Linked DNA regions of Diceros bicornis minor. The protein of the gene in region 4 purifies or fractionates together with the protein of the main gene of each other region. This does not show direct contact. Links are inferred from orthologs where the notes say so. Each region holds a gene or a part of one and is shown on either strand. Other genes may lie near its edges.

Region 1 (7,385 bases), on a different chromosome or scaffold from region 4:
ACCCAAGCTGAGCTTCCAGCATTCTCTAGCTTGCTAGTTCCACAATTCTAGTGGACAACTCTCATCTGCTCTTGTTTCTTCTCCTGTTCTTCCTTTTTTTAACTAACAAATTAAAAAAATTTTTACTTGTGGTAAAATACACATAAAGTTTACCATCTTAACCATTTAAAATCTATAGTTCAGTAGTGTCAAGTATATTCACACTGTTGTGCAACCAACCCCAGAATTTTTTCATCTTGCCAAACTGAAACTCTTTACCCATTAAACGGCAACTCCTCATTTCCCTCTTCCCTCAGCTGCTGGCAACCACCATTCTACTTTCTGTTTCTATGGATTTTGACTACCCCAGACATCTCATATAAGTGGAATCAGACAGGCTTATTTCGCTTATTTCACTTAGCATAATGTCCTCAAGGTTCATCCATGTTGTACCATGTGTCAGAATTTCCTTCCTTTTTAAGGCTGAATCATTTAAAATTTTTTATTTTTTTTTTATGTTTTTTTATTTTGGTTCTTTTGTTCTTTTGTCCTTATAAGTTTATCGTTTTGTTTTATTTTCCCCATTCCTTTAGCCATTATTTTAGTACAGTTTCCGGAAGTGGAGATAAATTTTTGAGTCCAACCTAGTCCTTAATAGGAAAATCATATTCTATTTATGAAATCTAAGGACATATTCTCTGTTGCTTTCGACAATCTCTTTAACTTTGCAAGACCCCTTAAGGAGAAGAGAATAATAAAGTTGCATTTAATCCTCATTTAGCCAAAGAAAAATTTATGCTTTGCTTTGATGTTAAGCAAAAAAGTTACTTTAAGCAGTTGTCTTTTTACTATGAGTAGAAACTCTTTCCTGGGAAAGTTAGTGTAGTGGATCTCAAGGTTTGGTCCCCAGACCTGCAGCAACAGCATCACCTGGGAGTTTGACAGAAATGCAAATACTCAGGCCCCACCTCATACCTACTAACTCTGAAAATCTGGGGGTGGGGCCAGCAACTGTGTTTTCACAGGCGCTGCAAGTGCTTCTGATGCTTGCTAAAGTTTGAGAACCACTGGTCTTCTAGAGGCAACGCTTCGCAAAACCGCATCTAGAGATTAAACATTTTGTTTAGTTTTACTCCAAATGTTTACAAGATTTTCAGGCTCTGAGGTGACCATCTTTCAGCAGACAAGTTGTGAGGCACCCCTACCACCTATAGTGCCCATCTGCGGGACTTTTCTCTCTGCTGGAGAGGAAGGCCTTGTCCTGTATTTATACTACCTGACCACTTCCTTACCCTGCACCCCACTGGCCACACTGACTGAACCAGGAGAGGAGCCCTCACTCAAGGCCAGCCAGTCCACTGGATGGTCAGGACCAACTAGCTGGATCCTCTCTCGAGAATATGAGCTAGAGACACGAGACCGTAGTCAGTGCTGAACTGCTAAAGGTATAGAAAACTGAGTGATGGCCACAGTGGCCCTGTGCAGGCACAGCCCCTGTGTCCTTTCAAAAAAAAGTAGCCCCTGCCTACTTTTTTTTCCCTTGAGTGGGTATACATTTTTTGCGCCAAAGAGACTTGATCAGGATACATCTTAACTATTGATAAGAAATGCCGTATGATTGATTGGTCGTAGTTAGTATCATCCATTGTAAAGCTTGCCCAAACTATTGGCTTCTCCACGCTCTTGTCCTCTTTTGGAACTGCATATAAACAAATTGATGTCTCTGTCCAATATGTGTTTAATTCCCCATATGTGAAAACACATTTGGTAGCGCTCTTATTGCATTCCAATGCTGAACTCTTGGAGTTCTTTTGCAATTGCTTCTGATTCTCTGAGAAACTAGTGCAAATTGCTTTGTAAATCAACAACCAAAGAATCAATATCCGTGATGTTCTTTTAAAGAATTTGAAGATAAATAGTCCCCATAAGCCACTGTCATTGTACTCCAAGGTTCAAAAGGAAATATTCTGAAAATGAAAGCAAAGGAAATCATACAATATTACCAAAATGGTTATGTGGTAGTGAATAAAAGCCAGAATATGATTTGAGGAGTGAACGTTTGTTCTGAGAACAATATTAACATAACAGGAATATCAGGATCAAGCTTTACTTTTTCAGGTCACGGTTATTGATTTAAGAATTTATGCAAACAAAAATCGTTATCAGAGAGTTGTTTGCAAAAATGTTTTAAATCCAACATGTCTTCTTTTAATATTATACTATTGTAGAATATCCCAGGATGGGAGAGACCATAAAGGTCATCTAATCCAGTTATGCATTTCCTGCTTGACTCACTTCTATACCCCTAAAGAAATGACAGCCACACGACCCTGGCATTGTGGTTGATGACAGAGCCATTTACCATGCCTCATATAGTAAATCTACAAAAAGGAATCAATGCATTTTGAAAACACAAAATATAGGATGCTACTTTGAAATATGGCTTTTGTAAGTGTTTGGAAAAGTAGTGCTTTTTTCTTCTGTTATTCATGGGGGAAAGGGTGTTAAGCATTGTGGCAGACACTATTTATTGTCCCCAGAATTGGTTGTCCGTAATCTACAAATGTCTGGTTGGCACATGACTGCTCAAAATAAAGCTTACATTCCCAAGCTTTCCTTACAGCCATGCGTCTCGGTTACTATTGCTGTGTAACAAATTACCACCAAGCTTAGAGGCTTAAAACAACCTTTGTATTATGCTCACAGATTCTGTGGGTCAGGATTTGGAACAGGGCATCACGGGGCTGGCTGCTTCTGTCATGCGATAGTGACTTCTATCAAAGCAGTCACAAGCCCATCCAGATTCAAGAGGAGGGGAATTAAGACTCCAGCTCTTGATGGAGGAGTGGAAGGTCACACGCAGAAGAGCACATGGGACAGGAGATATTTTTGCAGCCACCTTTGGAAAATGCAATCTGCCACACTATAGGTGTGGCCATCCTAAGTTCTGGCCAAGAGGACATAAGAGGAATTAGTGTGTTTAACTTTCTGGAAGTGTCCTTAGGGGGCGGATGTGTGTTTTGGGGAGGTGGGGAGAGGTTCCCTTCTCTTTTCCACTTTCCTCTTGGCTGAAATATGGATGAGACGACAGGAGGTGGGGCAGCAATTTTGGACCACAAACTGAGGATTCCGGAGCTATGAGCTGGAAAGAGCCTGGGAGCCTGATGACCATGGGAGCACCCGACCAGCCCTGCCCTGTTTACATTTACATTACAGAGAAATAAGCTGCTCTCTTGTTTAAGCTACTGTATTTTGCATTTTCTGCCACATGCAAGCAATGGTAATCTTAATAAAGACATCATCATTAATGAAGACAGATCAATGCTAATCTTAATAAAAACATCATCATAAATGTAGACAGATGATGCAAATTCATCTTAAATTACTGGAGCTATAAAGACAATAATGCCTATATGGTTTATATAATGCTTATACGATTGGAGTTTGACTAATATTGTGGGCCATGCAGTGAGGATCACAGTACTTTATAAAAGTTTACATCTTAAAATGCTTGACACTTACAATTAGAAGTACTTTACTATATTTAAAGACAACATATTATTATGAGGTTGATAAGAAACGAAAATAAAGAAAACATTCACTCATGGAATGAATACAAATTGGATTACAAACAAAGGGTTTATATCAAGATGTATTTTTATTGGTAAGTGCCGCACAACAAATGGTGCATTTGTTTCAATAAACAGTAGTAAACGCACAAAGTGGACAATGAAATAGTATCAGTAAGGCAAAACATCATAGACTGGATGGAGAAAGGCTGGAGAAAACGTGGCGAAAGAAAAAGAAAGGTGTCACAAAGATGGAGCATTATGTCCAAAAGAGAATCAGTGCCATCATATGACTTTAAACAAAAGACATTACCAACACTTATCAATAGATTCTCGGAGGAAAATAAAATGCCGCTACCGAGGTGGGGGCTGAAGTTTCAGGGCAAATCGCGCGGCACCAGCTCGGCGTGGGTTTCCTGTGGTTAATGACAGGTGGGAATTCGGCAGAGCGGCCAGCCCGCTCCGGGGAGTGCGGACAGGTGGACGGCGAAACGCGCCTGGAAGAGGGCACCCGGGTAGTGTGGAGCGGCCCCCCACGCCCCCGCTGCGCGCCGGAGCAGCATTCCCCGCAAGCCCGCCGGCGCCCTCCACCGTCTTCAGGCCGGCAGCTGCCCGAGCGGCGGGTGCGCGGCGCCCGCCGGCGGTGGTTGCCATGGTTTCCGGGAGTCACGTGGGCGCGCGGCGGCGGGGCGGGGGCGGGGGCGGGGCGGGGCGGCCGGGCGGGGGAGAGGAGCGGCCGCGGCGGGCGCGGGAGGAGCCGGAGATGCTGCCAGCCCTCCCGGGGCCGCGCTCGCTCAGCCACCGCCGCCGCTCGGAGCAGCCGCGCGCCAGGAGCTGCGGGCCGGGCCAGCCGGGCCGCCGGGGCCCAGTGCGCCGCGCTCGCAGCCGGTAGCGCCGCCAGCGCCGTCCGCGCTCGCCCGGGGGCCGCGGGGCCCGAGGCCGGTCCGCGGAGGGGGCGAGGGCGGCGCCCGGGTGCCCGCTGCCCCGGAGGCAGGATGAGCATCGAGATCCCGGCGGGACTGACGGAGCTGCTGCAGGGCTTCACGGTGGAGGTGCTGAGGCACCAGCCGGCGGACCTGCTGGAGTTCGCGCTGCAGCACTTCACGCGCCTGCAGCAGGAGAACGAGCGCAAAGGCGCCGCGCGCTGCGGCCAGGAGGGCAGGACCTGGGGGGACGCGGGCGCCGCCGCCGCCGCCGCCGCCGCCGCCGGGGGCGGCACCCCCAGCAGGGGGGTCAACTTTGCCGATGAGCCGGTGCACGCCGACTCGGAGAACGGGGAGGAGGAGGAGGCCGCGGACGCAGACGCAGGGGCGTTCACCGGTGAGGACCCGACCCCCGCACGCCCCGGCTCCCCAGTGCAGTTCCCCCTTTTTTGCCCTTTAATCCTGCAGCTTTGCTCACCCACCCTTGCCCGCCTTCTCCACCTTCCCTACCTTCCTATCTCGCCTACCCCCTCAGCATCCATTTCTGTCTCTCCCACTCGCCCACCTTCCTACTCTGCTCTCATGCCCTCTCCTCCTCGTCCCCTCCCCTGGAGGTGGGGAGCTGAAAGGTTGGGTTCTCGTCCTGGACTCAGAGGCAGAGGACGACCGGTTTGAGTGGGCATCTGAAAGACAACTTCCACTGTGGTTGGAAATATTTCGTTTGACGGGTACCATTGTGCATAAAAAACTGGCCCATTTGGCGTCCTCTTTCAGCCCTTATGTTTATTAATAGAGCGTCCAAAGAGAAGAGGTGAGGGGTGTTCAATTGGATTGGCTTTACTGTTATTAGGATGGCCAATTCACTAAAAGGAGCATGAAATTGGACTCACTGGGGCAGAACAAAATTTATGGTAATAGCTTTCATATTTTTGGAAACAGACAAATCTGTTAATTTCCCATTTATCAATACCGCATTTTGTTGTTTTTGGACACACAACAAAGGATCCTGTTTAGCCTGCGACCCATGGGGTCTTTGGAGTGAGGAAACGGGCTAATGGTTTGCTTTTTATTTAAAACAAATATTGAATGATATGGAGCCTTTTTTAAAAAAATAAAAAGTGTGTGAAAAACACTGTAGGAAGTTCTGAAAGCTTGTTGGTTGTCTTTAGAATGAAAAACCAGTGAGTAATTGTAAGGACTGTGCCAGACACTGAAGCTGGAAAGAATGAATGGAAAAGAAAAAGGAATTTTCTCAAATAGCTGCTCCTGGCAAGTCCCACCCCTTCTGCTTACAACCCTTTTTCCCTAACACACAGACGGACACGCACATTTACAGCTTCCTGTGTTTACACGACATGCCCAGATCCCATCTTTATGGCATCCCAAGGCTAAAATACCATGGTGTGCAAATGTGCAAGTGTTTTTTTCTCTTTGTGGTGGAAAGCAAACGTGCGTTGAGCGTTGCACCAGCCTTTATTTATTTACACTGCTTGTGGTTTGTGTGTCCGCAGAGCATTTCATATAAGGAAAACATTTTCAAGTGTCATTTCCTTGTGCATGTTGCTAGGAAGGTGTTTCTTTTCTTTGCAAAATTATTGAAATGTGTTATAAAATCAGTGTATTTTTAGCTTGTCCAAAATAATCACAAAAGCCCTGGAAATTAGTGCTCTATGAAGATAAAAGGGAAGATGGTTACTTTAAAAATTTTAATTTTGGTCTTGTTAATGTTTCCAGGGATAGGATGATCATAGTCTTAATTGTTCTTTTTGCGCAAGAATTTAATCAAATGCCTTTCTTATTAGAAGCAAGAAAAAGATAAAATAATACATATTTTAAGTAGATGAGAAAGAGAAGCCAATGATGGGTGACACAGAAAGGGCAGAGGCATCTAATACTTCTTTTATGCTCCTGAGACAGGCATGTACACACGCATACATACACATGCACACACACAAAGGGAAAAAGGACTTGTTTCCCATATGGGAGGAAACTAGGAATTTAGGGACTTGGTAAAGAACCTATATATGTTCGATACAATATATTGTCAGTATAACTAAAATATTTTGTTTGTATAATGCTTTTGAAGTACTTTGCATTGGTGATTCCCTTTTCTCCTTACAACAATGTGTATTGTACACAGAACAGATTTTATTTCCATTTTGCAATGAAGAAATAAGCCATTAACTTCTAAACAGCAGGGATCATTTTAAATGGTTTTATATTCTCCAAGGCACCTTTACTCTAAAAATTTCTCAGTGTGAGTTTTAAGAAATGCTTATTAACCAATTGCACTATTTATTCCCCAGCCCTAGCCCCAAGGACTTTAAAACTTTTTTGACTGCAACCAAATACAGTGTGACCATTATCCAATACACACATCTGTGTATAGGTATAACAGAAACTTTGGCAGTGGTGCTTCCTTCTACTTGGTGCAGTAGAAAACATCTACTAGAATATTATCTATTCCAATCAATTCTCTCGCTCGCTCTCGCGCTGGCGCTCCCTCTCGCTCTTGCTCTTGCTCTTTTTTTTTTTTCTGAGGAAGATTAGCCCTGAGCTAATATCCATTGCCACTCCTCCTCTTTTTGCTGAGGAAGATTAGCCCTGAGCTAACATCTGTGCCCATCTTCCTCTGTTTTGTATGGGGATGCCTTCCTCTTTTGATGAGCGGTGCGTAGGTCCATGCCCAGGATGCAAACCTGCAAACCCCTGGCTGCTGAAGCAGAGCGCACGAACTTAACCACTACACCACCAGGCCGGCCCCCAATTGTCTTGTTTTTTTTAAGCAAATTGTGTTGAGACCTGCAGTTTAAAAACAATTATAGATTACCAAGGGGTTGGCAAACTTTTATGTGAAGGGCCAGACAGTAAGTATTTTAGGCTTTGTGAGCACGATATGGTCTCCATCACATAT
Region 2 (7,372 bases), on a different chromosome or scaffold from region 4:
ATTAAATAGCAAAATTACATTGGAGGAGACAGCATCAAGGTGATTGCTAAAAATTAGCCCACTAACATGTTCCCTGGGGACATGTGAGGCGTTCCTAGGCATAATCTTAGGTGCACTTACACACAGCCTGTGTTCTCTGACTTGTCACACTGCTGCCTTAGCTCCTTAGTACACCACTGGCCTTCCCCTCTCCACACCTCCCTTCTGTAGTGTCCCCTGCCCCGACTTGTGTCCCCTGCTCCCCCATCCCAAGCATGGGATAGGCCTTTCCATTAATCCCCTTACCACAGCATAGACTGGGCTTATAACATTGCAGACTTTACTGAAGACTCCTAGTGTTAAAAAAAAATCATTAAAGAAAACAATTTAAGTGATACAAATAAACTTGAACACTTCATGAAGCGGACAGTCTCCATTCAGAGAACTACAAAATGGGGCATAAGGCAGGAAGCTTTTATAGGATAAAGAATAAAAAGCAAGGAAGAGAAAAATAAAATATCTGATTGCCTGGGGCCACAGAGTTAACCTTGTTTCCGGTCAGAAGGAACAAGGAAATGAGTATAGAGCCCAGAGTTGGCTTGGCCTGTGGGGATTGGCTGACTGGGTATGCCGTGTTTCTGATGCAGTGAAGCATTTGCAGGGACTTGGGAAGTTAAGTTGTGGTTTGCTGACATCACACCTGGGCAGGAGCGCCTCCATCCTCCTTTCCTCTTTCCCTCTCTTCTTTCCCTTTTCTTTCTTCTTTTTTTCTTTCTCTCTCTCTTTCCCCTTCCTTCCTACCTTCCTTCCTTCTTTCTTTCTTTCTGCCTGTCTCTTTCTCTTTCTTTCTCCCTCTCCCTTCCTCCCTTTCTTCTTTCCTTTCTTTCTGTAGTTATTGACTAACTAATAACACCTACCATATGCCAGGCATGTGTAAGTAAAAACAGATGTGGTTCCTGCTCATGAATCCTACAGTCTAGTAGAGGAGAGAGACATTAACCAAATAATCATTCAAATGAAAATCATTATAAATTCATCAAAGCATTGAAGAAAATTACAGTCCTGGGTAAGGAGGAGCTTACTTAGTCTGGGGAGTTAGGACAAGAGTTCTTGAGGAAATGAGAGTAGAGCTGAATGCTGAAGGATTCACGGAAATTCAGAGGCTAAGGGGGATGGACAGAGAAAGAACATTTGATACTGAAGGAAGCAGGACAGGTCTGGCCCTATTTTGAGGAACTGAAAGTAGGACTTCTGAGAGGGAGAATGATAGGAGAGCAGAGGAGAAAGTTAGGTAGATCATGGGGAGATAAGAAACCACTGAAGGGTTTTAAGCAGGGGACTGACATGGTCAGATGTGAATTGCCAGAATACAAATGCCAGCCTTCTGGGGCTAGAGTGCACATACTTCAAACAGCAGGCAAAAAAGACAAAGCTAGGAGCAAAGTAACTGTGCTAGGAAAAGAAATATGGACTTTGTAAACTGGATAAATTTTATTTTTTAAAGTATTAAAAAGGAATAAGCAACATCCACACAAAACTGGTATACAAATTTTCAAGCAGCATTATTCACAGTAGCCAAAAAGTAAAAACAACCCAAATGTCTATTAACTGATAAACTGATAAATAAAATGTGCTGTATCCATACAATGGAATCATTATTCAGCGATAAAAAGAAATGAAGTACTGATTCATGCTACAACATGCATGACCTTTGAAAACATTATGCTAAGTGAATGAAGTGAGGTATAACCAACCACATATTATATAATTCCATTTACATGAAATTTCCAGAACAGGCAAATTTATAGAGACATAAAGCAGATTAGTGGTTGCTTAGGGTTGAGGATGAGGTGGGGGATTGACTCCTAATGGGTATGGGGTTTGAGGGAGCAAAACTGTTCTCAAATTAGATTTTGGTGATGATTGCACAACTATGGGGATATACCAAAAAACACTGCATTGTACACTTTAAATGAGTGAATTGTATGGTATGTGGATTGTATCTCAATAAAGCAGTTAAAAAAAGAAAATAATTTAAAAAAGAATCCAGGAACTAGGGACATCTATAGAAAGGAATCTCAATCCTAAATTTCTTCTTGCTTTATATTCGTTGTAGTCCAAATAATTGTAGCTAGCAAAAGAGACCACAAGGACTGTCCTGCTAGGGTGAACTGGGAGGATCTCGGGCTCTATTCATACATGTTAGGACGGTAGAGTTGAGTCCATTGTTCATCTAAATTAGCAGTACCAAGCAGCTGTTTCAGTTAATCATTATAAGAACGGCAAAAAACACTCAAAAGAGTATTCAGTTCTTTCAACATTTTAAAAGAATGGTCTTAATTTGTTAAAACAATACCTTTTCTCTTTTTAGCATTTTTCCTTTTAAAAAGTAACCCTATAATGTTTCTTGAAATCTTATTTTCATTAAAATTAAGGTGTTAGCTTAACGTGAAGATAATGCCTCAGCTCTATTTTCTATTTCTTAAATCTTGATTAGGAACATGTGAAACATTACTTATTCAATACTACCTAGGTTCAAAATAGCTACCGAGAAAGGGAACAGGAGGTTGAGCAGGTGGCAATGCTTCCATTTTCACACTCTGAGAAGGCCAAGATTTCTTAGGGAAGCATTCCTGGTATCTGTATTAATCAGTTTCATAGTTCCTCAGCCGGTGTGTGTGTGCGCGCGTGCGCGTGCGCGAGTGTCCAATTTCATTTAGCTTGTGCTGCTGACTCTTATCAGGTTTTTATAAAGATTCTTTTCATTTCCCTTTCCAGCTTCCGTCTTACTGGTGTGTGCATGCCAAACTTAACCACTCTGCGTGTAGGCTAGTTAGATTGCCTTGTTTTGTGTATGAGGAAGCTGAAACTCAAGGATGATAAGGTACCTTGATTTGGCTGCGTCACCAATGAGAGGTCTTCCAGTTGGAACTTGAGTCTCCTGATTTCTGTTTTTTTTAGTGGACATCTTCATTTTCCAGCCTTCAACCTCTATCTTTTCAAATCTTATCCTTAGGAATAAATTTCTGCATTGAACATCACTTTATGTTGCTTTTTCCTAGAACTGACTTTTAGACAGAAGAGGTGGTTATCTGTGTGGTGTAACTGGAGGGAAAAAAAATCAAAAGACACATTCCTTTTGGGCCATTTGTTTTCCCAAGTAACAAAAAAATTCCCGTTTATTTCTCCTATTGTAATTAAATAGCAGTAACTGAAGACGTATCTAGATGCTCTTAACAAAGGCACAAAACAGCACCAGAGCTCTGACCTAATGGATTTTAGAAGAGGAATGTCCAAGTCGTTGGAAATTAAATCTTTCAGGATTGTCTTTCTCACGGACTACAAGTCTCCTGATATCCCAGCTTCCTCTGTGGCCTTCTTAAGATATTCTTTTCCGGGAAGAGCTTTAAAAAATAAAAAAAAAGTGAATCATAGGTGTCTCTCTCCTATTTAAAACTCTCCAACGCTTTCCATTGCACTTAGAATTCTAATTCTCAATTTCTTTCCTGGCTTACAAAGCCCTACAGGATCTGGCCCATGTTTGTTTACTTCTCCAAGCTTATTTCCTCTTACTTTCTTGTATTTTCCCCCTCAAACCCCATTTAGGGCCTTTGAATTAGCTGTTTCCTTTGCCTGGAATGCTCTTTCCTCTGATATTTGCATGACCGTTATACAAATCACTGCTTAAATATCTCCTCCTCGAAAGGGCCGCCCCTCAAGTAGCCACCCAATCACAATCACCATCACATCATTTATTGTATTTTCTTTGCATACAGCTTAACAATAACAGGTTTTTTCTTTCTTCTCTCTCCCCCTCCCCCATAAGCCCTCTAGAACCTACACTTGTCTTCATCGCTGCTCAATGGACAGCCTCGAGTAGCGCCTAACAAATACAGGAGCTTAATAAAAATTTGTTGAGTGAAGAAATGAACATACGAATGCTCCCTGTTTTTCCTGCCCCTCTCTCCCAAACAGGACAAAACTCATAATGAGGATACACTGAAAAATGTCTTTCTCATCTATCAGGTATTAACACCCTTGAGAAATAGATGTCCTTGAGGAGACTGTGCAACTTGACGGGACTAGCCCTTCCTATTCTAAGTGGAGAAAATCGTATGTTAGCTTTTCATCTAGGGCTGGGTTTCTCCGTGACCCATGCTTTACTTCCGATTCTGATACCGCGTAGAGACGCAACGGTGAGCACTAGGGCCCGGAGATCCCTCGATGCTTTGTTGAGGTTCGGATAGGGCCGCTGGCCTGGTGCGCTGTGAGTGGTCCTCCCTAGAGATGTTGGGGAGAAGGGGCGGAGCCACCCCGAAAGCATGAGCCTTACTTGGGCCGTCAGATCTGCGGGGCTGCCGCTTTGGGGCCCCGGGAATCAGAAGAGAGCAAAGCTCGCCTGTGGCGAAGAAGGAGCCCCGCTGACCCCAGGCGGTAAGACCAAGGGGTCGAAGGTAAGGAGGCAGGGCCTGAAACCAAACCCGCAGAGCAAGCCACGGCTTAGGTATTTTGCCAGGGGAAAGGGTTAAACGGTTTCCAAGGTAACGGACCAGGAAGCGCGCAAGACGTCCGCCGCAAGTTCGTAGGTCAGACTCGAGTTTAAAGCTCCCACGGCTGAGCGGATTCCGGCCAATGGAGAGGCTGCCTCGATATCACGTGACGCACGGGGCCGAGCGGCTAGCTGCCTCGGAGCACGTGGGAACGTTTTTCCTGTTCCTTCTTTGCTTTTTAAAAAGCCCACCCACTTTTGCGCGGGCTTGGTAACGGAGGTCTTCTCGCGAGAGGCGCGCTCCCCTCTCGCGAGAGTGAGTGGGAGGCGTGGGGACTAGGTGGTGTAGCGGGCTGGAGCTGCGGCGGCGGAAGGAGGGGGTGGGCAGGGCGGGGGCGGGGAGGGGGAGGGCTGGGGGCCGGTGCTGGAGGGGGCGTCTGCTTGCTCGGCAGCTCTCGCGACTGGTCGTTGCGGGCCGGTTACGTGCCTGTGAGTTGCGGAGGCTACGGCCCCCAGGTGAGCCGGGCGCGGATCGGCCCGCGGCGTCAGCAGCGCGTTGGCTGGGGTGGCGGCAGGGTGTGGGGCGGCGATTGATGGGGCGGCCCAGCTCGGGCGCCCCAGCCCCTGCGCCTGCCCGCAGTCCCTGCTCTGACTTCGGGGCTGTTCAAAGCTGCGCCTTCGCTCGGCGGTGGGAGGAGGAGCGGGGCGGAGGGAGGAAGCCCAAGGCACTGGGCCGGGGGGAGGGGAGTGTCCTCGGGCCCGAGTGGGGTCTTTCTGGAGTCCGAAGTGTGGCGTTGGGGCTGCAGCCCTTGAATGACAAGCTCAGTTTCTGACCCCAGAGTGGGCTTCAGAGCCGGGTCCTCTCGGTGAGTGGTGGTGTGTGTGCTTAGCTTGTGTTGGTGCTGCGCGCACAGGAGCATATGCAGGAGGAGGAGGGCGTTGCACTTTGTCCCCTAACAGCATCCTTCACTGTCAGAACCCCTGAGCCCTGGAACCGGGCGCACCCCAAATCTTGTGACAGAAACGGAAGACGTCAAGCCCGTCGGAGTATTGATATTGGGATTTGCTGTCAGATTTCCCCCAAGGCTGTTAATGGCTTAAATACAGGCCATGCATATTCCAAGTGCATTGGGTATACCACTTCGATTATTCCGGGCACCTAAGCTGCTTTATAAAAAAAAAAAAAATGTAGATACGACCAAAGTATTTAAAACGTTGGCCAATGACAATGGTAGTAGCATCTAAACCACCACAGTGGGTGTGACTTGGTGACAGTTCTTTACTTCTGCTTTTCGTCTCTAAAACCTTATTAAACTGGAAGTGGTTTAGCTTAAGATGTTAAAGAAATTTCAACGTGAGAAATACTGCTGAGACGTATCTAATGGTCTTAGTGCAAACCACCGTTAAAAATTCCGCTTCTCTTTTCAGCTTTGTAATTATGCAGTCCCTTGCAAAACATGTAAGCTTTCCTTAGCTTCTTCCCACCTTGTTAGGGGTGTTATATTGATTGATACTGTTTTTGATATGTCTGGAAATATCCAGAAAATTCAGAGTACTCGGAAAATATAGGGTACTCAGTCATGCAAAGATGATTTTAATGTCTTGTTTATAATTTTAGGGTAAATGGCAGCTCAATTCTCAGCAGGATTAGTGTCAGTTAAAATAGTGCAATTTAATGAATCTTTTAAAATACCTGGTCAAATAGTATTTGTACAAGTAGTACTATTCAAGTAGTACTGGTTATACTTTTTTATGTTCCTTCTGGCAGAACTGACCCAAGGGTTGAAGATGAATTTCACTGTTAATTGTAGCTGTGAGTAACAGAGCAGTTTATGAGAGATCAGAGAATGTAAGGCAATCAGAACAAATGGGTTCCCAAGCTGACTGGTAACTAGTGATTAGTGTATGTACCCACGTAAGTGAACTATTGTTATGGGACTTGCCCAAGACCCTGAACCACAATGAGGAGTTCCCTAGCTTCCCAGCTGCTGGAGTGAGTCTAGAAGCTGAAGTCCTCCTTTGCTTTTAGAGGCTGGAAGAAGGATAGTACATTTAATGTTGCTGGTTTTTTTTTTTGTTTTTTTAATTTCAGGAACTTACTGTCTGGAAAAGGAAATCAAATCAGATGATACATTATAGGTCATTTTTAGGGAAATTTCCAGTTATAAATAGGCAGAGGAGTTCTGTCTATACTTGGAGAAAATGTGAAAAACTTAAGAAATGTCTTTTTGAGAATGGGCAAAAGGGACCAGTCTAGATTTAAAAAGTTTTGTTCCATTCCATCTTGGCAAACTGATTTTCAGATATAGAAAAATAGCATTTTTTGCTGGTCCTTACGACCTTTTGGCAAGGGTTTCAGGCTTTTAGGATGTAGATATTTGTTTTGTCTTGCTTTTGAAAAGAAATTGAAGTAACTTTGGGTAGGATAATTATTTAGGTAAAATGAATTTATTCTTTTTCTGTGAAGTGGCCTCCATTTTAGTAATAAAATCACCCGCTTGGAGGGAATGAGGGGTGGGGCAGGTCAGGAAAAGATTAAGCTTAGCCTAGGCTTTAGTTAAGGGTGTATAAACTGGTAAAGTAGGGAAAGGAAAGAAAAATACTTTATCTGTTTAAAAACAGACCAAACAGATTCAAATGTCTTCATTCTGCTACTCATCTTTATATATAAAAGTTCATTTTATTTTTCAGTACTTAAGACATTTCAAATGTATAGATTAGAGACTGGACAGGATAAAAGGAGAAAACATTTTTGGATTAATCTGAGAATGTTTCATGGGAAAGAATAAGATAAATGGCATGGTGGCCTGGAACACATTGGGTGTTAACTTGGGTGAAAATGAGGTATAGTGAAAATAGTGAAAAGAGTTCGGGTTTTGGAGTCAGGCAGCTCTGTTAGTTAAT
Region 3 (7,690 bases), on a different chromosome or scaffold from region 4:
CATAAAATCCTCCCAGAATCCTCTCAGATTGGCTCAGAAAACTAGTCGGAAAGCAGGCCAAGGTACTGAGAGCCAGGCTCTGTAATCAGTAGGCCTGGATTTAAATCCTGGCTCGATCAAATAATTTTCATGAGATCCCAGACTGTTCACTTCACCTCTATGAGCCTCAGTGTGTCCTCACCTGTAGAAAGGGGATAATATTGTCACCTCAAAGGATCGTTGTTTATTCGGTGATTTAACAAATAGTTACTGAGCCCTATTGTAAGCCAGATACCAGGTTAGGAACTAGGGTACCAAAGAAGATCAAAATGCAGCCCCTGCTCTCAAATGGGTCGTCGTCTAAAGTGGGACACAGACAAGTTAACGATGCATTGTCCAATCCAGGAGCCACCAGCCCACGTACCCACTGAGCACCTGAAATGTGGTTAATCCAAACTGAGAAGTGCTGTAGGTATAAAATACACACCAGACCCCAAAGACTTCGTAAGATTAAGGAGAATGTAAATATCTCATTAATAATTTCTGTTGTTTTTTACAAGTTAGAATGATAATCTATGGAAATATTTGGTTAAATAAAATATATTAAAATTAATTTCACCTGTTTTTACTTTTTAATGTGGCTACTAGAAATTTTTAAATTACATATGTGGTTCAAGTTATATATCTACTGGACAGTGCTAGTGTCAATAAAATCCAGGGCTGAGACAGGGTCAGTGATAAATGGGATGACTAGAAGACTACAGACGGCCCAGGTGGGGTGAGGGAATGTCAGCGAAGGCTTCCAGGCAGTGCCACCTAAATTGAGACCTGAAAAATAACAGGCATTAATAAGGCAAAGGGAGAAGGGAGGGCAATCCAGGCAGCAGAAACATGAGTGCCAGGGCCCCACAATATGAAAGAATAAGGCAAGATCGTTCATTACAAAGAGTCTGGCAGCCAAGCAGAGTGAAGGGCTTGGGGAGGAGACAAGGAAGGGCAGAGGAGGCTAGTGAAGTAGATGGGGCCAGAGTATGAAGGACCTTGGAAGCCGTATTAAAGAACTTCACCCTGAGGGTGGCGAGTGGCCAGGGAGGGTCTGAAGGAGGTGAGTAAAAGATTAGTTACCAGGAATGTATGCAGCACCTGGGTCCTGCAAAGGCAGAGAGAGGAGGGTAGGCAGAATATGTGATGATCTGTGGAGTTGCTACTCTGGGCCAGACACCGGGCTAAACTCTTTTAGACTCACTCATTTTACAGATGATTTTGAGGCTCACAGAGGGTGAGTGACTTGCCCAAGGCCACAGTGTTAAATGGCAGAATCGGGATTGAAACCCAGCTAGGTCTGGGTCCCAAAGCCCCAGTGCTTGGCCAACCGGCACCAAGATGAGAAAAGCTGCCTGAGAGAACGACAGTGGACTTTTATCTTAATGGCAAAGAGCAGCATTACACATATAAAGCAGCAGACTGTGACAACCAGATTTACATTTTAAAAAGAGTTTTCAAGCTATAGTATAAAAGACTATTAGGGGTGTGAGGGAAGCCAGGACAATCAAGGTGAGAGGTCATACCCCAATATATCGGGGCATCGTAGTGAGATGAAGAGAAAGAGACATGATGAACTAACACAGGTCCAATTTAGGCAGGAGCTGCAAAGGGCCTTGCTCTGTGCCTGATACACAGTAGATACACAATAAACAGACTAACCACTTGTCCAGATAGGACTTGTTTACGCCTGCCATCCAGGCATGAATATTAATTGTGCTCATTTCACTCTTACAAGTGTATCGGTTTGCACAACAAATACATGGTCATCCTTTTAATTAGCGTCTGTTGACTGAAAGAAGCAGCCCGTCTCTAGCACAGCTGGATAAACACTGCAGATTCTCAGTTAAGGCTTTCCTCCATGTCCTTCTGAGCACTCAACCGGGAGCCAGGACAACAAAGGGCCCCAGCCCTGGGGCAGTGCAGGGCTCTGTCAGGCCTTCCTACCAGAAGAGACCCCTGCCCCACCAGCAATGTGGACTCCAAATGCCTCTTGGGACAGGTCCATTGGGAGGCCACTCTCAGCCATTATTCCCCAATTTGTATTACTATTGATGATGATGATGGCAACACAGAATCATTTTTTTAAGCACTGACTACGTGCCAGGCATTACACTTGCCAAGTGAATTGCTGGGCAGGCATCTTCTCTTCTAATCCTCATCCCACCTCTGTTGGGTGGATACTACTACTAGCTCCATTTTACAGATGGGAAAGCAGGGTAAGAGACTTTAAGGTCACAGAGCTAGTTAGTTTCAAGGGCTGGATTTAAATCCAATTCTGTTCAACTCCAGCCAAGGTTCTTAACCACTGCACTCCACTGCCTGAGTTTTGGTGGCCACTATGTGACCCCATAAGCAAAGTCTAGACAGACCAACTACACTCCCCATAATGAATGCAAACCCCCAAACCAGAATAAACCATCAAGTACCCTCCAGGTCCCCGCCCCTCAACCAGATCCCACCGATGGCACACTGCAAAAGGCCCCCCTCCTCCCGCTCGTTCAGACAACCCCTTACCTGTCCCTCACACCCTCTTCAAAGTATGTCCCGAAATACGAGAAAGGTGGGTGTGGTGCAGGTCCGGACCCTCAGCCCCCTACACTCAGTATCAGCTGGTGGGTCCCGAAAGAGACGCCTCGCCCCCAGAAACCCACCCCACACACTGTCCCTGTCCGGAAACCCTCAAACACCTTCGAGAGCAGACCCCAAGTCTCCGTTGGAGCGAACCCCTCGATCAGCGGGAACCCGGGCCCGGTTACCGCGAACCCCCAAAGCCCGGGCCGCACCTGCAGCCGCTGAGCGTTCCGGGGAGGGTGACGTCCTCTTCCAACACTGAGTCCATCCTGGACACGGAGGAGGTGGTGGCGTTGGTGTCTATGGCGGCGGCAGCACTAGTTCCCCCACGATGTAGCGACCCGCCTGGCTCCCCAGGTCCCGCCCCCTCCAACCCAGCTCTTGTTCGGACTGTGGCGGCACCGCTGGAATTCAAACCGCAGCCGCCGCCATCTTTCCCGGCGCTTCTTCCTACGGAAACGGGGCGGGGTCACCGCGGCGCGCGCGGTGAAGCCGGCCGGCCGAGGCCAGAAGCCGGGCAGGGAAGCGCGGGCGGGCGCCATCTTAACTAAGGGCAGAGCATCCGACCTGGGGCCCGCAACACTAAGGAAAGAGAGCCCGGCTGCCATTTTTTGTGAGGGCACTGAGGCCGGGGCCAGGGCAGACGCCATCTTTGTTGAGGGCCAAGGCAGGCCTTGGTCCGTTAATTTAAGCGGGAGATGGGAATCCAGGCCCTCATGGACCTTCAGAGTTCTTATCCTGGTGTATGCTTTCCTAGAATAATGACCCAAACCTTAGGGTCTGTGCATTCAAAAGGCTTCCACTTTGAGTTGAACCTCAGATAATCGGGTGCTGCCTCGCTTTAGAAAAATCTTACCTGCAGAATCCCAGCTCAAGCAGTAATTTGCACACTTAGCTTGAAACGAATAAATTCATCCCTATGAGCCAAGTGGTCACCGACACTCCCTCTCCAATCTCTCACCTAGTGATCCTTTATTACCTTTAAAGCTCAGACGCACCTGAGATCAGTAAACTGAGGCCCAGAGAGAGGAAATGACTCTCCCAAAGTCATGCACAGTAAGTCTGTGGACTGGAGCCAGATCCCCGGCTCCTGCCAACCACATCAGGGCTCTCTGCATAACCCTGACTGCCTTTCTTAAAGCACAAAGCAATCACCAACACCTAGATAATTTTGGCAGCTTGGCCAATGAAATGAACCTTCATCTCCCCATCTCAGTGTTACTACCTTCCTCTGCAGGCTGTCCGGAGAGTTCTGGATGAAAATAACTTGAAAAAATGGGTGATTGGGTAGATGATGACTTTCCTTGTAACCACGTACAACACCTCCCTCATCCTCAGTTTCCTCATTCTTCAATTTAAGTGTTACTTTCCAAAAGAAGCCTTCTCTAATCTTCTAATCTAAATCAGACCCTTTCTTGTATTCTTAGCAACCTGTATTTTTCCTTTGTGGCACTTACCACATTTTGCAATTATATATTTTTGTGTTTTTTTTAATGTCTCCTCTTGCACTAGACTGGAAGCTCCATGAGGGCAGAGACTGTGTTCTGAATTGTTTACTGCTATATTCCTAACACCTAGCACTGTGCCTGCCACCCAATCAGTGTTTAAAAATATACGTTGAGGGGCCAGCCTCGTGGTGTAGTGGTTAAGGTCAGGCGCTCCGCTTCGGTGCCTGGAGGTTTGCTGGTCTGGATCCCAGGCACAGACCTACGCACTGCTCATCAAGCCATGCTTAGGCAATGTCCCATGCAGAAGAGCTACAACTCTACAACTATGATATACAACTATGTACTGGGGCTTTGGGGAGAAAAACAGAAAAAGAGAAAGATTGGCAACAGATGTTAGCACAGGGCCAATCTTCCTCAAAAAAAAAAATATATATATATATATATGTTGAATGAATGATTCAGTCAATCTGGAAAATGAAAAATAATACCTATCCTGCAAGGTTTCTGTGACAATGTGATATCTTTAGTAGCTCAGTCAATAGTCATCCCATATATCCTGTTCTCTCTCTCTCTGCTTCATTCTCTCTCTCTCTCTCAGCTTTGGTGAAGGCTACAAGGCTCTTGATCCTGTGCCCGTTCCTCTTCCTTCCCCGGATATTCAGTCACCTCCAGAATCAGCAATAAAATAACAGCCTGAAAGAGAGAGTGGGCAGGAAACAGTTGGCACACCAGATGCCCTGCCCCAGGGAAGGGCAGTCCTCGAAGCCCGGGAACCAACAGTCCTTGCCAGTGCTAAGTTCAACCAATGAGATGGGTGTGTCCAAAAGCAGGGAAGCTGGGGTGTCAGGATTCCAGCCCTGGTTCTGCCACTGACTCTGCAATCTTTGGCACACCACTCCTCTTCTCTGAGCCTCAGTTTCTACACCTATGAAATAAGAGGGTTGGGCTGGTTGGATGTCTCAGGACCTCACAGCTCTGGAGGTGATTTCTTTGTGTTTATTTCAAGGTTATTAATGCACGACCAACCATTTTCTGGTGAGGGAGACTGAGTTACAAATCGTTACTTCCCAAATGAAGGAACTAACTTTTCATCCAGCACGTGAAAGCTCTTCAGAAAGGAAATAAGGAGGAGGACTTACACATTTTGGGCATCTCTTATGTGCCACTTGTGCCAGGCATATCACATACACCACCACATTTAACCCTAACAACAACCCTCGGGAGTAGGTGCTACTGTTCTCCCCATTTTACTTACAGATGAGAAGACTGAGGCTGAAAGAGGTGAAAATAACATGCTCAAGGTTTCACTGTTGGTAAGTGGCAGAGCTGGGATTTGAGCCTAGGTCCCACCGAACTCAAACACTCTAATTGTTTTAGGCAGCCTGTCTTCTCTATCTGTTTGGTTTCCTCCACTTTAGAATTCAGGGTCAAGAGGTGAGGTCTACATCCAGACAACAGTATTTCAGGGATGTGTTCACCAGACTCTACTCCTTGGACAACTGCTTCAAGGTGGCCATGAGGTGAATGTTAGTGTGGAGAGTAGGACTGCAGGATGGGAAGTCTGGGCACCTGGATTCTGACTCTGGAAAATCTTCCATCTTATCCTGTGACCTGAGGTCCCTTCCCCTCGCTCCTCCTTGGTTTTCCCATGTGTGAAATGGGACAGACAATGCTGAGCTCACACAGTTGCATTATCTAATTAGATACTTTGGAAACTGTAAAGAAGAAAGAGCCTTGGAGGAGTTCTGCTTATGATTAATCCATTGCCTGATTCAGCAAATGACCACGTTCCAGAATTGTGTGCTAACCCTTTAATGAACCTAGAAACTTAAAATAGAATCAGTTGCACAAAGGATAGGCTATTTGGGAAGTTGTTTTTCCTGTTTTCATGGTCAAGGATGAAGGCCTTTGCCCCGTCTCTGTCTCGCCATGGCCTTTCTTTCTGCCAAGCCTGGAAGTGACGTCACTACTACCAGCTGTTTGGGCTATCTGGCACCATCTCCTTGACAACAGCCACCCAGTCACAAAGCTGGCATTATTATTCCTTGGGTAAGGTCATCTCAAATGGCTGGGAGGAAGTAGCTTGCAGCCAGATGTTTCTCATGAGGGTAGAACCCTCCTGAAGTTTTAGCAGCTCAAGACACATGAGCTGCCATTATTAACAGCAAGAATAACTTACAGGATCAATACAGATACATTGCTACTTTGCACTATTTCATTTTATCCTCACTACACTCTGAAGTAGATTAGGATGATTGCCCTGCTCTACAGATGAAGAAACTAAGGTTCAGAGAGGGGAAGAGATTTGCCAAAGGCCACACTGTCTTCCTTTCTTTCCTCACTTTTCATTTAGAAATAATTCAGACAGAAAAAAATTGCAAAAATAATGCAAAGAATTCCCCATATAGCCTTCACCCAGCTTGCTAAAATAGTAACATCTTACATAACCATAGCACAATTGTCAAAAATAAGAAATTATATTACAATAGTACTTACTACAGACCTTCTTGAAACCTAATCATTTTTCCCATTAATGCCCTTTTTTCAGCCCAGGATCCAATCTGAGATTCCACGTTGCATTTAGTTGTTATGTCTTCTTACTCCCCTTCAATCTGCGACAGCTCCTTTGTCTATGTCTTTCATGACATTAACACTTTCTAAAAGTTCTTGCCAGTTATTTGATAGACTGTTCCTCAATTTGGGTTCATGTGCTGTTTGCTCATGATTAAATTGAGGTTATGCACTTGAGCAAGAATACCACAAAACTGATGTTGTGCCCTTCTCAGGGTATCAGGAGGAAGATGATGTTAATATGTCTCATTAATTAGTGATGTTAACTCTGATCTCTTGGCTAAGGTGGAGTCTGCCAAGATTCTCCATGGTAAAATTACTTTTTTTTTTTTTTTTTGTGAGAAAGATCAGCCCTGAGCTAACATCCATGCCAATCCTCCTCTTTTTGCTGAGGAAGACTGGCCCTGGGCTAACATCTGTGCCTATCTTCCTCCACCTTATATGGGACGCCGCCACAGCATTGCCTGACAAGCATTGCATCGGTGCGCGCCCGGGATCCAAACCCTGGGCCGCCAGCAGCAGAGCGCATGCACTTAACCGCTAAGCCACAGGGCCTGCCCCCCAAAATTACTGCTTTTTTATGATTAAAAAGAGTCTTGGGCAGCGATACTTAAGACTATGTAAATATCCTTTTTGTCATCAAATTTTCGCCCACTGATTTTAGCACCCATTAATAATTCTTACGCAAAACAATTATTACTGTGGTATTTGCCAATTGGTGATTTCCTATTTTCATCATTTCATCTATATTTATTAACTGGAATTCTACTATAAGGAAGAACTTTCTCTTCTTGCCCATTTCTTCCATTGTTTATTTAAATCAGCATGGATTTGTGGATATTTGCTTTATTTTATGAGTTATAACCTATCACTATCATTATTTACTTTGTTACACACATTATCCTAGATTTGGCCAAGCTGCCCATCTAATACATAGATGTGCCAAGATTCAAACCCGAGTCTGTCTGATCCCAAGGTCAGCAGTATTTCTAGCACATCCCTTGTGCTACCCTGCCCCTTTCTCTCAAGAACTCTTCCCAGCCAGCCTTCGCTATCAGCAGCCCTTGTCCAATTCC
Region 4 (7,121 bases):
TACAAAATCGCTCATTTCTTCAACATAGTATTTAAATCTACTATTCACTAATATGAATTTGTATCTGCCAAAGAAATAGCCTGTCAATTCACGGGAAAGCAGGATAGGTAAAGTGGTAGTATTCACCTATTCAGTCCTTAAAATGTTATAATTGGACATTCGTTAAGTGTATAAAGTCCAAGATTTAAAACATGTAAAACTTCAACCCAGTTCAGCATTGTATAACTCAACACACCATTTATGATCAAAGAAAGATTTAAAAGCTAACCATAATAAATTTGTCAGAAAGAGAACTCAACGAACTTCAATATTCACATTTATTCCAAGTCAGAACAAAAAGAATTCCTCCACGTTTTTTTTTAACTTCATGTACTTAAACGTGTATGGAATCAGCTGTTAAATATTTATGTTATCAAACAGGAATTCCTGTTACTTAATTTAGTACTAAAAGATGAAACACATTTAAAGCCCTGGGAACCACTAACTGGCCTTTTTTCTGTATTCCTATATTTAATGTCACTGGAAAAGAAATAAAGTTGGATTAAAACTTGTTACATTTCATACATGCCTAAATTGGTAATTAATCTTTACTCACAGTTCATGAATCTAATTTTTAAAAAATTACATGTGGTTTCTGTGCTTAGTTGATTTCTTAAAATAGCACTTTTGGCACAAGCATATTTAGAGCGTTTATTATTAGGAGATATTACATTCCTTTTTCTTGCTAAACAAGTCATGGAAGTAAACCGCTTTAAGTAGCTTTGAAGAATGTAGGTTGTATGAAAACATATCAAAACTCTTTCCATAACTCAATTTATAAATGAATAAAAATTTGTGTTTTAACCATAAAAATAAACCTTGGAATTTTGAAACAACAGTGTTCCTCTCTTTCTGTTGTATCAGCGTTTTCTCCTGTATATCAACACATTCCGTAATAGGAAACTAGAGCTCCAAGCTTACCATATGTATTATTACATATATAAAATTATTGTGCATATTTTGATATTTTGGGGATACGAAAGAGAGAAGACAGTGGAAGAATACCTGATTAACGAACATTCAGTTACTCTTTAAGAATTTCTTATATGTCATGCCTATTATGCAATGGCTACAAGGGTTGCACCTAATTTTACTTGTGTACAATGATCCTACTTATTTTATTTTCTGATATCACAATAAAGAAAAATGTTAACAGCATTTTATCAGTCCGTTTTTCCCCAAAGAAATCATGGCTCATGATATTATCTTCCGTTGCTAGATTTTAAAGTGTTTCAGAAAACATCACAGGCCCCATATATTTTAAAAATGGTGGGCGTACAGTTCAAACATAACTTTTAATTATTAAAAGCCCATGATATTCATTCATTTGAGATATATTTACTAAACACCCACTATGTGGAGGAACAGGTATTAATAAAACAGAAACTAATTCAGTATTGTCTTCATTCCTCACTAAACTTTTAATTAAAAGATCTTCGAAATGCATAAAAACGATTTCCGAAAGGCCTTAAGAGACTGCAATTTAACAGAATAGGGCAAGTAGAATGAATAACAAACTTTTGTTGCAAGGTAAATTTTAATAATGTACTATTACTTCAATATTCAACAGTTCATTAAGTTGAAGATATTTGAGATTCCTCATCCATTAACTTGCTACATAGTTAAGGATTAATTATAAATAATCAAAACCTTTAGAGTAAAAAAAAAATTTGTAGAAGTACACATTCTTTCCTTTCTTCCTAAAATAGCTTGAAGAAGGTAAAAAAATTCTGATGCAGAAAAGAAATAATTCAAATAAGCTTCTATAGAACTATGAAGGTGCTGCATAAAACAAGGAGTAAATTTTGTAAACCATTCTTGTTTGGTTTTGTTTTTTTTAACCTGAGTTTTCTTCCTTAACTGCTATGGAATATATAAATGGAAAGAGGGAAAACCTAGTGCAATTTGATAATCAAACACACCATAAAGGGCAAGAGTACCAAGGGTAACTCTATTATTGCTTTCATCAGAGTGACAAAAATATCTTGGGGAGGATCCAAGGTGAGATGTGGAATGGAGGTACTGGTATTGTTTATACGTGAAATTTATCTTTTAAAGGGCATGTCACCAAAAATAATTACATATCACCATTTTAGCAAAGCAGTAAGTCCAAACATCTTAACATGCCTGAAAAGAATGTGATGCATGCATAAACAACTTTTTCCCCCTTTAACCATAATTATAAATAATATAAAATATAATTATAAAAGCTTTTGTTATTTATAATGTTACAAATATAAGATTTCCCATAGAATAATCATACTATGCTTTTATATTAGAAAATTCTGCTTGTAAAACTAAAGTAACTTTCAAACATAAATTTAAAAATAAAAGATGGCAAACAAAAATTTAATTATAAATTCAAGAGTCTTCTCGCCCCTTTTGAATTTTAAGGCTTATAAATCCAAGACATTTTAAAAAGTAAACTGATCATTGTTTCTAAAATTTAGGCTGTTTTATATAAAAACAAAAAACAGTAACACACTAGAAATGATGTAAGAATTTTGTAGAAAATTTTCCTACTGATATTCAACTTAGTCATATATAAAACAAAACAATGAACTACATGATTCAGCTCAACTTATAACCAAGTTTTTGCAGAATTTTCTCAACTTCATCTTGCAAAATGTCCTTGTGCAAATCATAAAAAGACAAACAAAACACAGTTCTTTATGTTTGATTCTAAAACTCCAATTAGCATTTGAGCTTCTAGTTATAACATATCATTTAAAAAAAAAAAAGAACAACTTACTTGATCTGTCCCATAAGGCAGTATGTTCAGAGAAATGAAAGCTGTCATTTTCCAGAGCTGTTTTCTGATCATGTACAAAACTTTTAGAGTGTCTATGAAATAATCGGTTAGCAAAACCTTCCAATTTCTGAAGAGCAGTTGTACCTGTATACTGGTTACAGGGTAGTTCTCTGTAAGTTGCCATTCATGTGCATTTACACTTTATTTAAAGTAACTGAAAATATTTCCAGAAGGAGCGCAACAACTTCTTACACAGAAGCTAAGAGCTATGCATGTGTCAAACTTCCTGTTTGCAGAGTATTCAAACCACTACTGCTGTTCTGCTTCCTGTTAATATAAAACAGCACATTGCTAAGCCTGTCTTAGCAAAACTCTTCATCTCAACTAGAGATGGGATTTTAAAGACTTGCAGTATCAGCCTAAAAGGCTCTATGTTTAAGAGTGTTTTAATATTAATATACAGGTTAATGAGGGACTTAAATATAAAGCTTTATATATATAGTAGGCTGAAAATTAAAAAAAAGGAAAACTAGTTAAACGTATTACAATCCTATGCAAACAACTGAAGGCCAAACCACTCTCCAAATATAATATGTTAAAAAGGTGGTGTTTTTTCCAGGAAATTAGCTAATATATAGTTTTTATGAATCCTTATAAGAAGGCAACATTTCATCAAAAACTGGTATGGAATAGATATTACGAAACTCTTGCAAAACAAATTCATAACATATATGTTTTAACTAAGAAAAAAATCTGAACTACCCTATCTTAAAAAAAAGAACTGAATGTTGCTAACTCACTGACTTCAGTCTAATATATACAGAAACTTCAAAAATTTAGCATGTCAGTATTGCTTATCAAATTTATAATCTGCTGACAAGTGCCTATCAGCAGTACCTTTTAAAACATTCTAAAATTTGAAAAAAAGAATAAAAAGTAAGATTTAAAATTATATAAAATCAGCTACGGCAAGAAATTTCAATTGAGAGGAAAAAAAATCCTTCTAGTTGACTGAGACATGTTAATTTTTCAAACTTAACATTCAGGACTACTTCTTACCTGATCCTTGATTTAGGGGTCTCAAAAACAGCTCCTTTGATTAAAAGTAAGTAAAATTTGCCATTGTCCTTTTGGAGGAAAAAAGTAACTCATGACATTTAACAATGATTGACTACTTGCCTTTTGACACTAATTAAAGGATAATCTTTTAAAGGGCATGTCCCAAAAATATGTGGTTTTCTCTTTGGAAGTTCTAAATAAAAGAATAAAAGGAAGGGAGGGAGGGAGGGAGGGAGGGAGGAAGGAAGGAAGGATTTTTTTTTAAAAATCTATCAAAAAAATATCTCAGTCTAAATTTCCTGCCAAATGCTTGACAAATACAAGAAATAGGAACAAGAAGGACAAATAGAATCAAGAGGAATGATAATGTAATCAAATTAGGACAACACACACATACACACACACACAAAGGAAACACTAATGAATTTTGCCAAGTAACAGCTCATTTGTATACACTTTCTTTTGTGTAATAAAATTAATATCAATCTAAACAAATAGGCAATAGTATCTATAAGACTAAACTTCTTAAATTTGTAGTTTTCTGTATAAATGTGTATATAATAATAGGTAATTTGTTTATTAACATCTGACAGTGCTTTATACAAAACAGACAAGTGTGTGCAGTCTTTAATAAACATTTACAGAGCATGGACTGACTCTGTATGGGCAAAAGTGGATAAAATTCCTAAATTCTTTGACTTGCTCTCTTGGGAGAAATTCTATTCATCCTCAAGGTTCACTGCAAATGTCACCTCTTCACTCAAGTTTCCCACATACTTCCTAGAAAAATAAACTGTTCTCTCCTGTTTTCATTTGTAGTCACAGTTATAATTTTATATTAAAATTTGCTGTTTGTAAATTTATGTCTCAAATTGTGAGTTACTTGCATTTACAAATGCAATGTGTGTATTACATACTCAATAAATATATGTTGAAGAAAGCATTCATTTTTAACAAAGGTCTAAGTAGAATCATCAAACACTTGAAAATGTTTTAATTTTATGATAGGACCATAATTGTAAATTATCCAACAAGCACCAAGTTGTTCATATATAGAGACAACAGTAATAGAAGTAATGTCATTGAACTCCTTTTTCTCTATATTCAGTTACTAGATTTTATTCATCTTTGAGTTTCATTTTTATTAATGCAAATGTAGATTTCTAAAATAACTTGTTTTCCCTGCTTCTAGTCACTCCTTTCAATCACTCATCTCTGATATATTAATCTCCCTGAATATTATACTCATGGTATTCCCTTGCCAAATGCACCAACTAATCCTAACATTTCAGCCCCACCATTTTCATTTTTAACACATGTCTAGCCAACTTGTATTCAATGTTGCTTGAGTTTAGTACAGATATTCCAGATTCCTAACTAAAACACTAAGATTAATTTATTTAAAATAATGCATAAGCCTTACAACAAAATTACTAAAGCAAAAAAAGAGAGAGAGAGAGAAAAAAAGTAAGCTTCACTAGATGAGTATCTAGAAAACATCACATTTGAAATCTGTACTTTTTTCAATAAAAAATTTGTTACAAAGTCCTTATAAGAAGGAGAATCTTTCTACTTTCCTCAGAGCAATGTTTCTATACATGGTAATGTGACCAGGAAGCTGTTGCTATGGAATTACTTAGGCGATTTGATTTTTATTAAAAAGAACTCTACTGGCATCTACTGCTAGAAAGAAACAACTACAGCTTCAACTAAAACTACGAATTCCTTCACAATTCAAATTCATCTTAAGAAGTATACTGCTTGTTATTCTTCCTGATGGTATTTTCAGAACTTGAATTTACATTAAGACGTCTAGCCATGTACCCAAAATTTGCTATAATAGCATATCTTATACACTATTAATAGTTTAATGTATGATAAAACTAGAAAGTAATCAACTTTGAGGTTATCAAGTCCTTACTATTCATTCTGCATTAATTTTAGAAATTATAACAATTTTCTGAGTTGAACCTCCTTTGATTGCCATAAGATACCACAAAATTGTGGTTTATTTCTTATATTTAATAACAGTAATGATACCTTACATTTACCAAGCACTTTACAAGACATAAAATGATTTCCATTGGCTCATCAGATCTTTACAAACGAAGCAAACAGGACAGGTATTATTATCCCCTACTTTAAGATGAGAAAACAAACTCATAAACATTAAATGACTTGTCCAAAGTCACCTAGGTCTTCCAGCTTCTGGATCAGGGCTCCTTTGTACTGCACAATGATTTACCACAAGAAGTAAAGATTTTTTCAAATGCAGTATTTTCCAAACAAGGGTGGGGAGGTGGGGATACAAGGAAAGTTGGAGGTGGGATTGGTTCTTGGATACACTGTCGAGAGTCTGAGAATCTGCTACGAGAATGGTTTCGTTCAGATGGTCACTTTATAGCCACGCAATTTCACTGTCCACATTTAAGTTTACAATCATGTTAGGGTCAAGTAGAACTATGTACTTTAGAGTTTGAAGGTTAAATAAAAGAAAAACATGGATGTATATTCGATACGTAAATGATGCATTTGCTTCATGTGGAGGGTAAATGATATGACCATGACCCCTACTATTCAAATAAAGGTTTTAGGGTAATAATTCTGCCTTTCCCAAAATGTTATAAATGGATTCATACCTTTTATAAACGGATTCAACCTTTTAAGACTGGCTTCTTTCATTTAGTATAGTGTAGCAATTGGGGTTCATCCATGCTGTGTGTTTCAACAGTTCACTCATTTTTATTGCTTAATAGTATTCCACTGTATGGATCTACCACAATTTATATATTCACTCACAATTGAATTGCCTTTGCACCTTTTCAAAAAATCAATTAACCATATTTGTGTAGGTCTATTCTGGACTCTCTATTCTGTTACACTAATCCACCTGTTTGCTGTGCCAATTCTCTCATCAATACTATACTGTGTTGGCTACTGTAGTTTTCTAGTAAGTCTTAAATCTGATAACATAAATCTTCCTAATTTTTTTTTCTAAATTGTTTTGGCTATTATAGTTTCTCTACTTTTCCATTTAATTTTAAAAGTTTGTCTGTGTCTACAAAAATAATCTTGTTGAAACTTGACTGAGATTATTGGGAAAAATGACATCTTAACTACATTGAGTCTTTCAATCCACGATCATAGTATGTCTCTTCATTTACTTGGGTCTCTGATTTCTTTCAACAGTGTTTTACAGTTTTCAGCATACAGATCCTGCACATATTTTGTTAGACTTACACCTAAGTATTTATTATTTTTTAATTGGAGC

Evidence for each region.
Region 1: the proteins of PRKACB (region 4) and PRKAR2B purify together in Homo sapiens (affinity purification with mass spectrometry; 7 studies listed by BioGRID and IntAct, counting the BioPlex papers as one, with this or other methods). This does not show direct contact. The link is inferred for Diceros bicornis minor from reciprocal best matches to the Homo sapiens genes PRKACB and PRKAR2B.
Region 2: the proteins of PRKACB (region 4) and AKAP11 purify together in Homo sapiens (affinity purification with mass spectrometry; 5 studies listed by BioGRID and IntAct, counting the BioPlex papers as one, with this or other methods). This does not show direct contact. The link is inferred for Diceros bicornis minor from reciprocal best matches to the Homo sapiens genes PRKACB and AKAP11.
Region 3: the proteins of PRKACB (region 4) and CDK5RAP2 purify together in Homo sapiens (affinity purification with mass spectrometry; 4 studies listed by BioGRID and IntAct, counting the BioPlex papers as one, with this or other methods). This does not show direct contact. The link is inferred for Diceros bicornis minor from reciprocal best matches to the Homo sapiens genes PRKACB and CDK5RAP2.

The regions. Positions count from the first base shown.
Region 1 is NC_080742.1:11,401,247-11,408,631, reverse strand, and holds the start of PRKAR2B (cAMP-dependent protein kinase type II-beta regulatory subunit), read left to right. Parts: upstream 1-4,368; 5' UTR 4,369-4,543; coding exon 4,544-4,868; intron 4,869-7,385. UniProt on the Homo sapiens protein: Regulatory subunit of the cAMP-dependent protein kinases involved in cAMP signaling in cells. Type II regulatory chains mediate membrane association by binding to anchoring proteins, including the MAP2 kinase.
Region 2 is NC_080748.1:34,204,247-34,211,618, reverse strand, and holds the start of AKAP11 (A-kinase anchor protein 11), read left to right. Parts: upstream 1-4,353; 5' UTR 4,354-4,433; intron 4,434-4,930; exon of another isoform or gene 4,931-4,984; intron 4,985-5,270; exon of another isoform or gene 5,271-5,334; intron 5,335-7,372. UniProt on the Homo sapiens protein: Binds to type II regulatory subunits of protein kinase A and anchors/targets them.
Region 3 is NC_080767.1:27,771,792-27,779,481, forward strand, and holds the start of CDK5RAP2 (CDK5 regulatory subunit-associated protein 2), read right to left. Parts: upstream 3,012-7,690; 5' UTR 2,864-3,011; coding exon 2,808-2,863; intron 1-2,807. UniProt on the Homo sapiens protein: Potential regulator of CDK5 activity via its interaction with CDK5R1. Negative regulator of centriole disengagement (licensing) which maintains centriole engagement and cohesion. Involved in regulation of mitotic spindle orientation.
Region 4 is NC_080743.1:20,724,689-20,731,809, reverse strand, and holds the start of PRKACB (cAMP-dependent protein kinase catalytic subunit beta), read right to left. Parts: upstream 3,002-7,121; 5' UTR 2,976-3,001; coding exon 2,792-2,975; intron 1-2,791. UniProt on the Homo sapiens protein: Mediates cAMP-dependent signaling triggered by receptor binding to GPCRs.